Linked DNA regions of Stegostoma tigrinum. The protein of the gene in region 2 interacts with the protein of the main gene of each other region in a biochemical or structural test. Links are inferred from orthologs where the notes say so. Each region holds a gene or a part of one and is shown on either strand. Other genes may lie near its edges.

What was found.
Region 1: the proteins of itsn1 (region 2) and son of sevenless homolog 1 form a complex in vitro, tested with the Homo sapiens proteins (2 studies listed by BioGRID, with this or other methods). The link is inferred for Stegostoma tigrinum from reciprocal best matches to the Homo sapiens genes ITSN1 and SOS1.

The regions. Positions count from the first base shown.
Region 1 is NC_081362.1:21,098,942-21,105,867, forward strand, and holds the start of son of sevenless homolog 1, read right to left. Parts: upstream 3,038-6,926; 5' UTR 2,867-3,037; coding exon 2,780-2,866; intron 1-2,779.
Region 2 is NC_081365.1:20,945,457-20,953,214, reverse strand, and holds the start of itsn1 (intersectin-1), read right to left. Parts: upstream 3,087-7,758; 5' UTR 2,843-3,086; intron 2,733-2,842; exon of another isoform or gene 2,656-2,732; intron 1-2,655. UniProt on the Homo sapiens protein: Adapter protein that provides a link between the endocytic membrane traffic and the actin assembly machinery. Acts as a guanine nucleotide exchange factor (GEF) for CDC42, and thereby stimulates actin nucleation mediated by WASL and the ARP2/3 complex.

The DNA.
Region 1 (6,926 bases), on a different chromosome or scaffold from region 2:
CTTTGTTGAAGGCCATTCATTTCAGCTCCAGAACATCTCTGCAAAAGTTGCTCATGGTAGTGTCCTCAGCCCAACCATCTTCAGCTGCTTCAATGACTTTTCTTTCATCATAAAAGGTCAGAAGTGGGGATGTTCACCGATGACTGCACAATGTTCAGCACCATTTACAACTCCTCAGATAGTGAAGCAGTCTACATTCAAATGCAACAAGATCTGGACAATATCCAAACTTAGGCTGACAAGTAACATTTGTGCCACACAAATGCCAGGCAATGACCATCTCCAATAAGATACTAGCCAAAACTGTCCTTTGACATTCACTATTACTGAATCTCCAACTGTCAACATCTTGTTGTTTGCACTGACCAGAAGCTCTCGTACTCATCACATAAACAGTGACTACGAGAGCAGGTCAGGGGCCAGGAATACTATGGAGAGTTCCTCATCTCCTGACTCTCCTGAAGCCTGCCCACAATCTACAAAGGCACAAGTCATAAATGGTGATGGAATACTCCTCATTAGCTTGGACAGGTGCAGCTCTAACAACACTGAGAAACTTGACACCATCCAGGCCAAAACAGCACGTTTGATGGGCACCACATTCACAAGCATCCACTCCCTCCATCACTGATACTTAGTACACAATGTTGCTACTATCTACAAGATGCATTACAGAAATGCAAACATCCTTACATAGTACTTTCCAAACCCACGACCACTTTCACTTGGAAAGGACAGGGGCAGCAGCTACACGGGAACACCATAACCTGCAAGTTCTCCTCCAAGACACTCATCATCATGACTTGGAAATATATTTGTTCCTTCACTGTTGCTGGGTCAAAATCCTGAAATTCCCTCACTTGTGGCATTATTGGTCACCCTACAGCACATGGACTGCAGCAGTTCACCACCACTTTCTCAAGGGCAATTATGAACCGGCAAAAATGCCAGTCAGCAACACCAATGTCTCTCAAGTGACTAACAAAAAATCTTAATTCAAAGAGAATTTCTGTTAGAAAGCTAAAAGTGAGAAAAAAATTTGTAATTTTAAAGTATTTGGATCCTAGTAGAAATGTTTTAAAAACGTATATATTATTTACAAAATTAATAATGGCAGTTGCTCCAGAAACTATTTGGTAATTCACTTCCAAGATGATTAACATGCATATTCATTGCTAGTTGAAAGACAAAAATGGACACCGTGGAACCCATTTGCCTAAACTGTATATGACAGGTAAGAGAATTCCTCCTTACAATTGTTCATAACCCAAAGTACAGCCACATGCAGCATCAGCTACAGCACTGAAGTTCTATTGTTTAATAAGCCAAAACTTTGCCTTTTTAAGAAAAAACTTATACAAGTCATGCCACTTATTCATCAGTCCTGAGATCCACAAGAGGTTCTTGAATGTCAGAGAACCAAATCAAATTCTCATCCACCTGGAATCCAGGATAATCAGGTACTACGATCACAGTAATGCAATAATTTAAAATTTTCTTCATGCTTTACTTCTGTATCAATTAATTATGGTACTGCTTTCTACAATCAATGCACACTTCATCTGGCTTAGTTAATCCAGTATTTCCAAAAGAGTTCCCCATTCAGAAAAGACTTTGAGTCACTGATTTAGGTCAGATATATTGCTGGAATATTTTAGAAATTACATTGATAATATTATCAATGCTAATATTTTTTAAAAATCATGCAAACTACCCCCACGAGAGTCAGGGCAACCCATCATTTAAAAACACCAAACAGAAACTGCTCAAAAAGCTCAGCAGTTCAGAGGAAGAGACACAGGACCAAAACGTTAACTCTGATTGTTCTCCACATTCACTGCCACACCTGTTGAGCTTTTCCAGCGATTTCGGTTTTTGTTTCTGATTTCCAAAATCCACAGTTCCTTTTTCTTATTTAAAATAAAATCAAACCTTATCCGAAAAGTAAAGAATTAGCATGTTATATTTGGGCGTTTCAATTTTTTTCAAAATTGAGATTTACTTGACAAAAAGTGTATCTGCCACAATTTTATCTCATTTGCCCAACAATCCTTTTCAGATATCAGGCTGCCTTTTGAATCATAAGGTCCACAATTTGCCTTAAATCGGACCTTTCATTAAAAGAAACACACAGGCTTGAAACTTGAAATCTCAGTCTCGCATTCACTTCCATTCTGTTCACTGTCCAAAACCCCACAATAAAAACCACATGATAAATATGTACCTTGTCGCAATTGATTCCAAAATACCCCGACACCAAAGTAATTTGCAACACAATAACAAGGGGGGAATAGAACTCCCTAAGGAAGATCGCAACATATCAGGTAAAACTTCACTTAATTATGGTTTGATAGTCGAAAGCTAATAATTGTGATTACTAATAGCAAAAACTGGTATGCTCACACAAAAAGTTGCTCCTGAAAGGAAATGTCATGTCACATCAGCTGAATCACCTAATCCTACTGTACGCTATTCAAAAAAGCCAAATTCACCAAATTAACATACAATCTATTTAGCGAACCAGTTCACAGCGGCAGAGGAAACGACATTCTCCTTTCAAAACAGTTCCCCGTTCCTACTACCGAAATATTTAACCGATTTAATACACATGCTTGTAAAAAGCATTTTAGCATCTTTCAATGATGTTAGAAAATATCAAAACATCAAGTCGATAGTTCGCTAAGCTAAGCCTCGAATTTCTTTTCTAAAAACTACAATAGATCTCATCAATTGATTATTTAAATATAAGCACATACTAGATCTTCAAAGTAGCTTTTACCTTCCGCAGAGCAACGACGAGTAGACCGCGCCATTTGGGTGCATTGTCCTCACTGAAGAAATCGTACTGTTGTTGTGGCTGCTGCATGGTGCAGCCTCCGGCCCCCGGACGCGCACCCGCAGCCTTTTTCCAGTCAGAAAGAAGATTGGACGTTTTCTTCTTCGATCGCCACTCCTAGGAGCGATCTCGAAATGATTCCCTTCCTCCTCCTTCTACTGCCTGTCCGACTTCTAAAGCGCTCGCCGACCGCTTCTTATACTCAGAGCACCCCTCACTACCCCTTCCCCCTCCCCCCCCCTCCCCCTCCCCAAAAGTTTCAAAGTGACTGTCCCCCTTTCGCTTTTTTGTTGCCCGCAACAGCTCCTTTTGCTGTCGTCGCTGGTACTCCCGATCGCCTCTCTCGCACGCCGGGGACACCATTCGGCTGCGAAGCCAACGGAGAGACACTGGACACGGCAGCCAACCAACGGCTCGAGCTCGAGACGAGGTCGGGGCGGGGGGGGGTGTGCGACAGAAAGACGGCGCGATCTCGAGACGAAAATTCAACGGTCACCCTGGATCGAGGAGGGGGAGCTAGTCGCCAGCTGACCTACATACATACACACACACACACACACAAATCTCGATTCGTTCCCCCGCCCCCCCCATCCAACCCGTCTTGAAACTACCGATCCACTGGTGTGAACGCCCACGATTACATGTTGAGAGTCAACGTCCGGGGCGTCAAATACTGGCTGGGAAGATTTTTAAAAAGGAGGAACAACTCGCCCCTTCTAACGATAAAATAACAAAAATATCCCGTGTGTTCTTCAAACTTGAGAGCTTCAAACGTCTGCGCATGCGGCCGAATAGACAGGGGGCCGCATTTTCTTTCTCAGCCCAACACGGAAAAGGAACAGGAGGAAAGGTCGTCCTGTTTACGCTGCCGTGTACCATGCATTCTGGGAAATAGAGTTCACCCTTCATTGCAATTGCAGCAAGCTTATTGACGTTCGTAGTTTTACGGAGTGTGGGTTTCCTGAGTGAACGATCCTTTGGAATGATTTACTAAAGAAATAAAAATGTGAAAATACTAAATAGGCCCGATATCACTGGGACTCGTGAGAGTTGTTATGTTCTCTAACTTCGTTCAGGAAATTATTATTTTTTGAAATGATCTGACCGATTGAAGGCGACGCAACCCCGGTAAAGGGAGGAGGTGTGCTTGGATGGTCAAAGAACATTTCCTGACGTATGTACTGCAGCCACTAAGTGAACTATAAACGATTTGGATGAGAATAGAGGAGGCACAGTTACCCGAGTTTGGTGGATAACACCAAAATTGATGCTTTAGTCGATTGTGTAGATTATCTAACAGTAAAATGGGATATCTTTCAACTGGCCTCTCTGATGAAGGGTCTAGGCCCGAAACGTCAGCTTTTGTGCTCCTGAGATGCTGCTTGGCCTGCTGTGTTCATCCAGCCTCACATTTTGTTGTCTTGGATTCTCCAGCATCTGCAGTTCCCATTTTCTCTGATATCTTTCAACTGGGCCAGGAATGACATAGGGTTGAATGTAAATAAATGCGAGGTATTGTATTTCGGTAGAACAAACCAGCAGGACTTAGACAGTTAACGACAGGGCATTGGGCAGTATTGTCAGACAGCAAGACCGAGGGGTGCAGGTACCTAGTTCTTTGAAAGTGGCATCGGGGTGGTAAAGAAGACAGGGTGAAGGGTCCAGACCCAAAACGTCAACCTTCCTGTTCCTGTGTTGCTGCCTGGCCTGCCGTGTTCCTCCAGCTCCATACTGTGTTATCTTTGAGTCCAGTGAAGAAGGCATTTCCCTTCATTGGTCAGAGCATTGCGTGGAGGAAGTGGGATGGCATGTATGGCTGTACAGTGATGTGGAGGGGCCAGTGTTGGACCACAGTGGACAAGGTCAAAAATCACACAACATCAGGTTATAGTCAAACAGGTTTATTTGAAAACACAAGTTTTCTGAGCCTCACTCTTCCTTCAGGCATTAGTGAGAGAGGTGTCATCAGACACAGAATTTATAAATAAAACATCAAAGGTCACACAACTGATGAGCATGTATTAAGCAAACCTAAACCTAAGATGCTGTTAAGTCTCTAATCAGTTAGAAGGTTTTCTTTGACGAACATGTATATGTAATATTTTTCTATTCATTTGTGGGATGTGGGTGTCGCTGGTTGGCCAGCATATCTTGCCCATCCTTAGTTGCCCTTGAGAAGGTGGTGGTGAGCTGCTTTCTTGAACCACTGCAGTCCACCTGCTGTAAGATCACCCACAATGCTATTAGGGAGGGAACTGCAGGATCTTGACCCACCAATGGGAAAGGAACAGCAATATATTTCCAAGCCAGAATGGTGAGTGGCTTTGGGGGTAACTTAGAGGTGGTGATGTTCCCGTATGCCCTTGTCTTTCGAGATGGAAGTGGTCGTGGGTTTGGAAGGTGCTGTCTGAGGATCTTGGGTGAATTTCTGCAGTGCATCTTGTACTACTGAGCATCACTGGTGGAAGGAGTGGATGCTTGTGGATGTCGTGCCAATCAAGCAAGCTGCTTTGCCCTGGATGGTGTCAAGCTTTTTGAGTGTTGCTAGGGCTGCACTCATCCAGGCAAGTGGGAGTATTCCATCACACTCCTGACTTGTGTCTTGTAGATGGTGGACAGGCTTTGAAGGGTCAGGAGGTGAGTTATTTGCCACAGTATTCCTAGCTTCTGGCCTGCTCTTGTAACCAAAGTGCTTTTGTGGTGAGTCCAGTTGAGTTTCTGGTCAATGATAACCCCCAAGATGTTGATAGTGGGGGATTCACTGATGGGAACACATTGAATATCAAGGGGTGGTTGTTAGATTGTTTCTTATTGGTGATGATCATAGCCTGGCACTTGTGCAGCACGAATGTCACTTCCCAATTGTCAGCCCAAGCCTGGATGTTGTCCAGATCTCGTTGCATTTGAACACTGACTGCTTCAGTATCCGAGGAGTCACGAATGGTGCTGAACATTGTGCAATCATTGGCGAACATACCCACTTCTGAGCTTCTGATGGAGGGAAGATTGCTGATGAAGCAGCTGAAGATGGTTGGGCTGAGGACACTACCCTGAAGAATTCCTGCAGAGATGTCCTGGAGCTGAAGTGATTGACCTCCAACAACCATAACCAACTTCCTATATGTCAGATATGACTCCAACCACCAGAGAGTTTGCCCCCTGATACACATCGATTCCAGTTTTGCCAGGGCTCCTTGATGCCACATTCAGTTGAATGCAGTCTTGATATCAAGGGCTGTCACTCTCACCTAACCTCTGGAATTCAGCTCTTTTTCCCATGTTTGAACCAAGGCTGTAATGAGGTCAGGACCTGAGTGGCTCTGGCAGAACCCAAACTGGGCGTCTCTGAGCAGGTTATTGCTGAGCAGGTGGTGCTTGATAGCACTGTTGATGACATCTTCCATTACTTTACTGATGACTGAGAGTAGACTGATGGGGCAGTAATTGGCCGGATTGGATTTGTACTGCCTTATGTGTACAGGACATAATTGGGCAATTTTCCACATTGCCGGGTAGATACCAGTATTGTAATTGTACTGGAACAGCTTGGCTCGGGAAGCGCCAAGTTCTGGAGCACAAGTCTTCAGCACTGTTCTCGGAATATTGTCAGGGTCCGTAGCCTTTGCAATATCCAGTGTGTCCAACCGTTTTTTGATATCACTTGGAGTGAATCGAATTGGCTGAAGACTGGTATCAGAAATGCTGGGGACCACTGAAGGAGGCTAAGATGGATCATCCACTCGGAACTTCTGGGTGAAGATTACTGTGAATGCTTCAACTTTATCTTTTGCAAGGATGTGCTGAGCTCATCCATCACTGAGGATAGCGAGCCACTTTGTCCAGTGAGTTGTTTAATTGCCCACCACCATTGTGGGATCGCTTAGTTACGTCTATCACTGACTGCTTTTTTGACAGTTCATCTTCAGATTCGCCTGGTGCTGCTCCTGGCATATCCTCCTTCACTCTCCTTTGAACCAGAGTGTGTGTGAAACCATGGTGTGCGTGTGAGAGAGAGAGTGTGTGTGTGTGTGTGTGTGAGAGAGAGAACAAAACAGCTAAGCATGTGAGGGAGAGAGACAGTGAGCAAGCG
Region 2 (7,758 bases):
AAGATCAATAAATGATTAAGAGTAAAATTTGAACATTCTGCAGTTTATTCCATTCTGCTTCTAGTTGTGCAAATGAAGGCTACAAAACGATGTGTGAAGCAAGGTTAGTAAAATCATTGTGGTGCTTAAGCATTGCAAGTAGTAGGATGGAACTTCGCATTTAACTGAAATGTTTTCAGTTGGCTTTCGGACTTGCAATTTAAAATTGTACTTAGTTCATACGCAAAGATTTGGATTAAATCATAGGATCCCTATAGTGTGGAAGCAGGCCATCCACACGGACCCACCTTTATCCGACCCCTATAACCTATTTCACATGGCTAATCCACCTAACCTGCACATCCCCGCACACAAAAGGCAATTCAGCACAGTCAATCACGTAACCTGCGTGTCTTTGGACTGTGGAAGGAAACCGGTGCAGTCAGAGAGAAATGTGCAAACTCCACACAGACAGTTGCCTGAGACAGTACTTGAACCCAGGTCCCTGGCTCTGAGAGGCAGCGGTGTTAACCTGTGCCACCGTGCAGCCCAAAACTGATTTGATTATCTTCCTGATGTTTACAAAATCAATGCGAGTAAGTGCCAAGAGCTGGAAGACAATGTGGGAAAGTGCAAGCTCTCACAATTTGGTCGGAACAATAGAGGCGTAGACGGATTTGTGTGTGGGGAAATGCTTCAGAAATTTGAAACACAAACGGGTGTGAATTCTACTTCAGGATTCTCTGAAGATTAATACGCAGGTTCACTTGGCAGTTAGAAAGACAAACACAATGTTAGTATTAATTTTAAGACGGCGAGAAAACAAGAGCAGAGGGGTGTTGCTGAGGTTACAGATGGCTCTGGTCAGACCACTTTTGGAATAGTGAACAGCTTTGGGCCCTGTTTGGAAGGTTGGATATGCTGGCCTTGGAGAGGATCCAGAGTTGGTTTACAAAATGATCCCCGTGATGAAGAACTTGTCAATATGAAGAGCAGTTGAGGACCGTGGAGTTTATATAAATGAGGTGGGATCTCATTGAAACTTACAGAATATTGAGACACCCGAATAGAGTGAACGTTGAGATGATGTTTCCATTAGGAGAAACTGGAGCCGAAGGGCACAGCCTCAGACTTAAGGGACGATCCTTTAGAACTGTGATGAGGAGGAAATTCTTCAAAACAGAGACTGGTGAATCTGCGGAATACATTGCTGCAGAAGGCTGTGGTGGCCAAGTCATTTTAAGTCTATTTAAGGCAGGGATAGATAGGTTCTTGATCAGAAAGGGGATCAAAGGTATGGGGAGAAAGCAGGAGAATGGGCAAGAGAAACACATCAGCCATGATCAAATGGTGGAACAGATTCAGCGGGCCACATGGCCTAATTCTGTTGTTATACTTACGGTCTGAAAGAATTTTTCAGTATTAATACTTAAAAAAAACACAAGATTCCTAGGGAAACTTTACTTGGTTCACACAACACTTGAAAATCTCACTTAAAAACATAATTGTAAAATAATGTTTTGTGCACTCTACATTAATTTTATTTGAACTATTAGAAACAAGTATCTTTGTGTTAAAACTCAGAACACTGTATGTCAAAGTTTAGATTTCATAACCTTTTTACCAACATGATAAAGCTTTTCTTTTGCAATTTACTGAATATAACTACATGCAAATAAGCATGCACACAATGTTATCACATGCAAAATAATCTGATTACAGATCTATTCGAAATCATTGCATCAAAATCTTCCAATTTCATTACCACTCAGTCAAAATATTACTATAGAATAAATCATACTGTACAGTTGATTATTTGCTAAGACTTGCCAGGTTACATTGTCAGTTGCATCACCATGATTAATGACCACTGTTCTACATTCTACAAAAATCTCAAGGTGGTTGGCTATTTTGCTGAAAATTCATAATTTATAATCTATTCGATACAACGTTAAAATTTCAGATTCCACTGAAAACAAACAACATCTTCAAAATGACAATCACTACCAAATTTCAACAAACAGCTAGCTTTGCTAACGTTTAGATTGTGTTTCATTAACAGAGAGGATCAGGCTGTTTTAGACCATATGAAAGATTTTTTTTAAGTATTGGAATGGCCGCGAACCGACCGCGAATTTAGAAACCATCCAAACCTTTAATGCTCTTGTTTCATTCGTTTATTCCCTCATCTTCAAATAGCATAAATCAAACAGTAGGCTTGGATTTTTCGTAGTCTGATTTAAATGTGGCTCCATATGTTTCATTAAAACGGCAGAAATATCTACAATACTTCGGGGTTTCAAGCCCTACTCTTCACAATTTCACAAAATAAACGTCCTGTAGCAAATAATACACTTGATATCAAGGATCGGTAATGTGGTAGAAAACGAATACGACCCTCCTTTCTTGTAATGATCCAAAAACACTTGTATCAGATTACACTTATTATTCCCATCTCCCTGTGACCAATCCGCCCTGCAACAGAGGAGCTAGAAAGGGGAAAGGGAGGCAAAGGGAATAAAATAATCTTCACCCCCATTACTCTTAATCAATGCATGGTCCAAACGAAAAGCCAGGTAATTAACGAAAAAAAAATTCACTTCGACTACAACATGCAGCAAATAAGCTCATCAAACTCTCCGCACCTCCCTCCACGGTAACTGACTTTCCTCTTACTTTTAAGGTCTGCCAGCAAAGCGTCTGTTTCAAAAGGCAGATTGCTCAAGGCTGAGCAGCGGTGAGTTACCACAGTGTGTATTAAAGGGAGACATGCCTGCAGCAAGCAGTGCCTGAAATAACAGGAGGCAGTCATCCTTTGGCTGTAGGGAGAGCCATTGCAGGAGCTACAAACCGTGCAGCTTACCTCATCTCGGAAAGCGCCGGCGGAGGGTCGCTCCCCAGCGGCGGCTCCACGGCCTTCACCACCCCCCAAGAGTAGAGATATCCTTTCGATCTGCCGGCTACTGGGTGTGGGTGAGACAAGGAGCCGCCTCTCTCTCTCTTGCGTCTACGTCTGTCTCTCCGCCCGTTGCCTAGTGTCTGAAACTAACGCACTCACTCTTTCTCCTTTCTCTCTCTCCCCGCCCCCCCAAGCCGTACGTTACCCAACGCGCCCGCGCAGCCAAACGGAAACGACTCACCGCAAACTCGTTGACTGACAGGAATAGCGTCCTATCGAAGAACGCGGCGCCGTCCATCCCTGGGTGATCCAATCGGCAAGCGTCCTGTGAAGCTGCTCCTCCCCCTGGAAAATCCGCCTTGCTTGCCCCTCGACCTAACTCGTTGCTTTCCGCAGCGTGGCGGCCCATTTGAGTGACAGCCGTTGTGACCATAGAGAGCGCGCATGTTCATGTCGCCCTGCCGGAAGCAACGAACAGGGTGTGAGCAGGTGGGCGGTGCTTGCTGTTGATGTGTCATCGGGTTAGGTTGACTCCGTGCCCGTGACGACGCTTTGGCTGTGATGGGCGCTTAAGTTATAATTGAAGGTAGACATTTAACTTCACCTGTCACCGCTGCTCCTTTCTCGGTTTTATAAAAGCTCACTACTCCAACCGTATTGAAGCAATTATTAGTGCTATTTTTAAAGCATATGTTTTAAAAGATTAAATAGAGTGGATGGAGTAAGGACCATAGTAGTAAGTATTGTATTTCCCTATCCTGTTTCTATTTGTACACAAAGTATTTAGGTCATTTCTGAAAAAGGGTCCCGATCCGAAACGTCAACTTTCCTTCTCCTCTGATGCTACCTGACCTGTCCCTCCAGCTCCACACTGTTGTCTTGGTCGTAGAATATCCGCAGTGTGGAGACAGGCCATTCGGCCCAACAAGTCCACACCGATTCTCCAAAGAACATCCACCCCATCCCTGTAATCCTGCCTTTCCCATGCCTAATCCGCCTGCTTAATTTACATATCTCTGGACACTATGGTCAATTCAGCATAGCTAATCTACCTAATTTGCACATCTGTGGGAGGAAACGCACGCTGACAGGGGGAGAACTCAACACAGTCGCCCGAGGGTGGAATGGAACTCTCGACCTGGAGCTGTGAAGTAGCAATACTAACGACTGAGCGACCAGCCGCCATGTCGTTTGTTTCAAATTATCAATGCAAAATGTTGTATTCCAAGAACGTTTTTGTTGTATACAATTGCCCATGAAACAATAATTAGTATTCTCAACGTTTCTTGAGACTTTTTTTTTGTACCTGGCCTTTAGTTTCAAGATAAATGTTGTAGCATCATGTAAGTTTTGTTATTTAGCCTGACAATCTAATGTGTAGGTTCTGCATGGCTAAACAAAAAACCTCAAAAAGGCAAATGTTTTTATTTTTCAAACTGCTTGTATTAATTGTTTACTTTCTACAGATAGTGATGAAGGCAAATCCCCATGTTTTCCCCAAATGATGTGATTTATAAGGGTGTCACATTGTTTTATTTTGTCCTGGTGAGACTCTTCAGAGTAATTTGTTCACTTATCATCACATTCGAAACATTATATACGTTAGCAGAGGACTGTGAGGTTGATTCATGAACTTATATGTCTCAGTTATAATGAAAGATTGTTTACCTTGTACATTTCTGAGAAACAGAATGAGAGTGGAATAATAAAGTCCTGGAGAAATATATCAGGTCTGGCAGCATGTTGACTTGATGGTAGGCCACAGAGCATGGCGGTGAGGGGTTGACTTTTGGACTAGAGGCCTGTGACCAGCAGTGCTCCTCCAGGGGTCAGTGCTGGGTTCACTTTTGTTTGTTATTTATACAAATAATTTGGATGAATATTTAGGAGGCATGGTTAGTGAGTTTGAGATGACACCAAAGTTGGTGGTATAGTCGACTGAAGAAGGTTATCTGAAATTACAAAAGCATCTCCGTCAATTGGGCCAATGGGCTGAGGAGTGGCAAATGGAGTTTAATTTGGATAAATGTGAGGTGTTGCATTTCAGTAAGATGAACAAGGGCCCTGGGTTCTGTTTTAGAACATGATTGACCTAGGGGTTCAGGTACATAATTCTTTGAAATTTGCATCATAGGCAGACAAGATAGTTAAGGCATTTAGCAAGCTTGCCTTCATTGCTCAGACCATTGATTATAGGCGTTGGGACATCATGTTGAGGCTGTTGGTGAGGCCACTTTTGGAGGACTGTGTACACTTGTGGTTGGCATGCAATAGGATGGATATTATTAAAGTGGAGAGGGCTCAGAAAAGATTTACCAGGATGTTGTTGGGACTGGAGGCTTTGAGTTACAGGGAAGGCTCGATAGGCTGGGAACTTTTTCCCTGAAGCGTAGGAGGTTGATAGAGGTTTATAAAATCATGAGGGGCTTAGATAAGGTGAATAGCAATGATCTTTCCCCTAGGGTCAGGCAGTTCAAAACTAGGGGGCATATTTTTAAGATGAGAGGAGAAAGATTTAAAAGCGACCTGACGGACAACTTCTCTGCACAGCTGGTGGTTTGTATGTTGAATAAACTGCCAGAGGAAGTGGTAGATGCAGGTAGAGTTAGAATGTTTTAAAAGACATTTGGGGACACACATGAATAAGAAAAGTTTAGAGAGATATGGGCCAAATGCAGGCAAGTGGGTCTAGTTTAAATTTGGAAACTTGGTCGCACAGACAAATTAAAACAAAGGGCCTGTTTTCATGCTGTATTATTCTGTGCAAGCTAAGTGGATTGGCCGTGCTGAATTACCCATAGTGTTCATGGATATGTCGGTTAGGCGCATTAACCATGGGAAATGTAGGGTTACAGCGTAGGGGGTCTGGGTCTGGGTTTGGGTGGGATGCTGTTCAGAGGATCAGTGTGGACTTGTTGGGCCGATTTGCCTGTTTCCACACTGGAAAGATTCTATGACTCTGTATCTGGAAGCAGAAACAGTTAATATTTTGAGTATGATAAAACTTGTCAGAATGGGAGTGGACTTTGACATTGGTGTTCAAGGCCGTCACAGTTAAAGAGAATTTAGATTCCGGGAAATGATTTTGGTAGTTACAGATTTAAGTAGCAGGAATACAACAGGATCTGAAAAGAAACTCTGAAATTTACTCAACTTTGAGTTGGGTGAAACAGAATATTGGTGAAGTTAGTAGAACAGAAAGAAGAAATTGTATTTCTTCAGCAATCAATCCAGTATCTCAGAAGTGCCGTACTAATAAATATTTTTATTCAACTGTTCGGGCATGTTGGAACACATGCCATGCGTAGGTGGAATTTGAACCAGGACCTTCTGGTACAGAGGTCTGGATGCTACCATCACAACTCGGGAGCACTTAGTAGAGCATGATTTTGATGGACTATGGACTCAGCACATTTCTACTACACCACTCTGCTGTCGAAATGATGTTGTTAGAAACTGCGGCAGCCAATTTGTGAATGTAAATACCCATAAGATGGGCTAGTTAGCTTCGATGGCTTGAGAATGGTGCAGAGGCACACCAACATTATCCTACCATTTGAGGATATTCTTGGGGCCTGTGCATCATGATATCAAGGCATAACTTCCAACTCTCTAGCAATGAGAAAGTTGCATAGAGGGAGAGAGAGAGAGATCAGAAGCAGAAATGAAATGATGAACAGACGTAGCTTGAGAGATAGGTATTGGCCAAAACATGGGTGAAATCCAGTAGTTTGTAGTCATTCTTTTAAAAATAGTTTTGTGGCAGTTAGCTGAATTCTGTTATCAGCTGCTACTCACTCAGCTGCCCTAGCTGAAATAAGTGGATGGGTTTTTTGATAGAAATGAACTGTATTCTCTTCAATATCCACCTAAGTTTTTGGGAAACAGGCAAGAAAGTGAATTTGAGGCGAGGATTAGATAAGCCATGATCGAATAATATAGCAGATTCAAGGGACCAAATGGACCCCTCCTGCTGCTATTACTTCATATGTTCACAAATGTATGAAACATTTACCTATCCTTGCTTAGTTGGCTAGCTGCTTTGAATGTGATGGTTTTCCTTGTGATATCGATGTTATATTTGCCCTTTAAATTGCTGCTACGCGCAGTAAAAAAATTTGTTGTCTTTGTCGATGTACATTGACAAAGTGGCCTGTAAATGAGATTAATCTGTGCTCAGTCCTGTGACTGGACTGTAAATGTACTAGCTCTGTTCTTTATCTTGGCAGTTATCCAGAAGAAGCAACATGGAACTAAGGGTATTAATATAACTTTGAATCAGGTGGCAACCATTTAAATATCGTAGTCACAGAAAAACATGATCAAGTTGAACGGAGAGGCATATAATTCCATGAAGATGGACAAATCAGAAAATTGGCCTGAATGTAAAAACCAGCAACAAGTGACTTAAAAGAACTAAAGAGAGAATGTAGAATATGAAAGATTACCTGGAAATAAAAACAAATAGGAAAGTGTCTATTCAAATATTTAAACAGTAAAAGACGACTAAAGTTAAAATTTGGCTTCAGATCAGTCTGGAGTATGGCTTGGGTGGGGACTTGCAGATGGTGAATTTCCGATGCACCAGTTGCCCCCGAGCTTTTGGGTGGCCAATGTCACCGGTCCAAAACAAATGCACCTTGTGGATTGTACATACTGCTGCCATTGTGCATCAGTGGTGAAGGAAGTGAATGTGGAAGTGATGTAATTCAAGCAGGTGCTTTGTTCTGATTGGTTTCGAGCTTCGTAAGTGGTGTTGGTGCTATGACCATCCAGCCAAGTGGATTGATCATAGTCTTGACTTGGGCCTTGTAGTTGGTGGAAAGGTAATGGGGAGACAGGAGGTGACAGAATAAGGTAGGGTTGGAGGTTAGATCGAT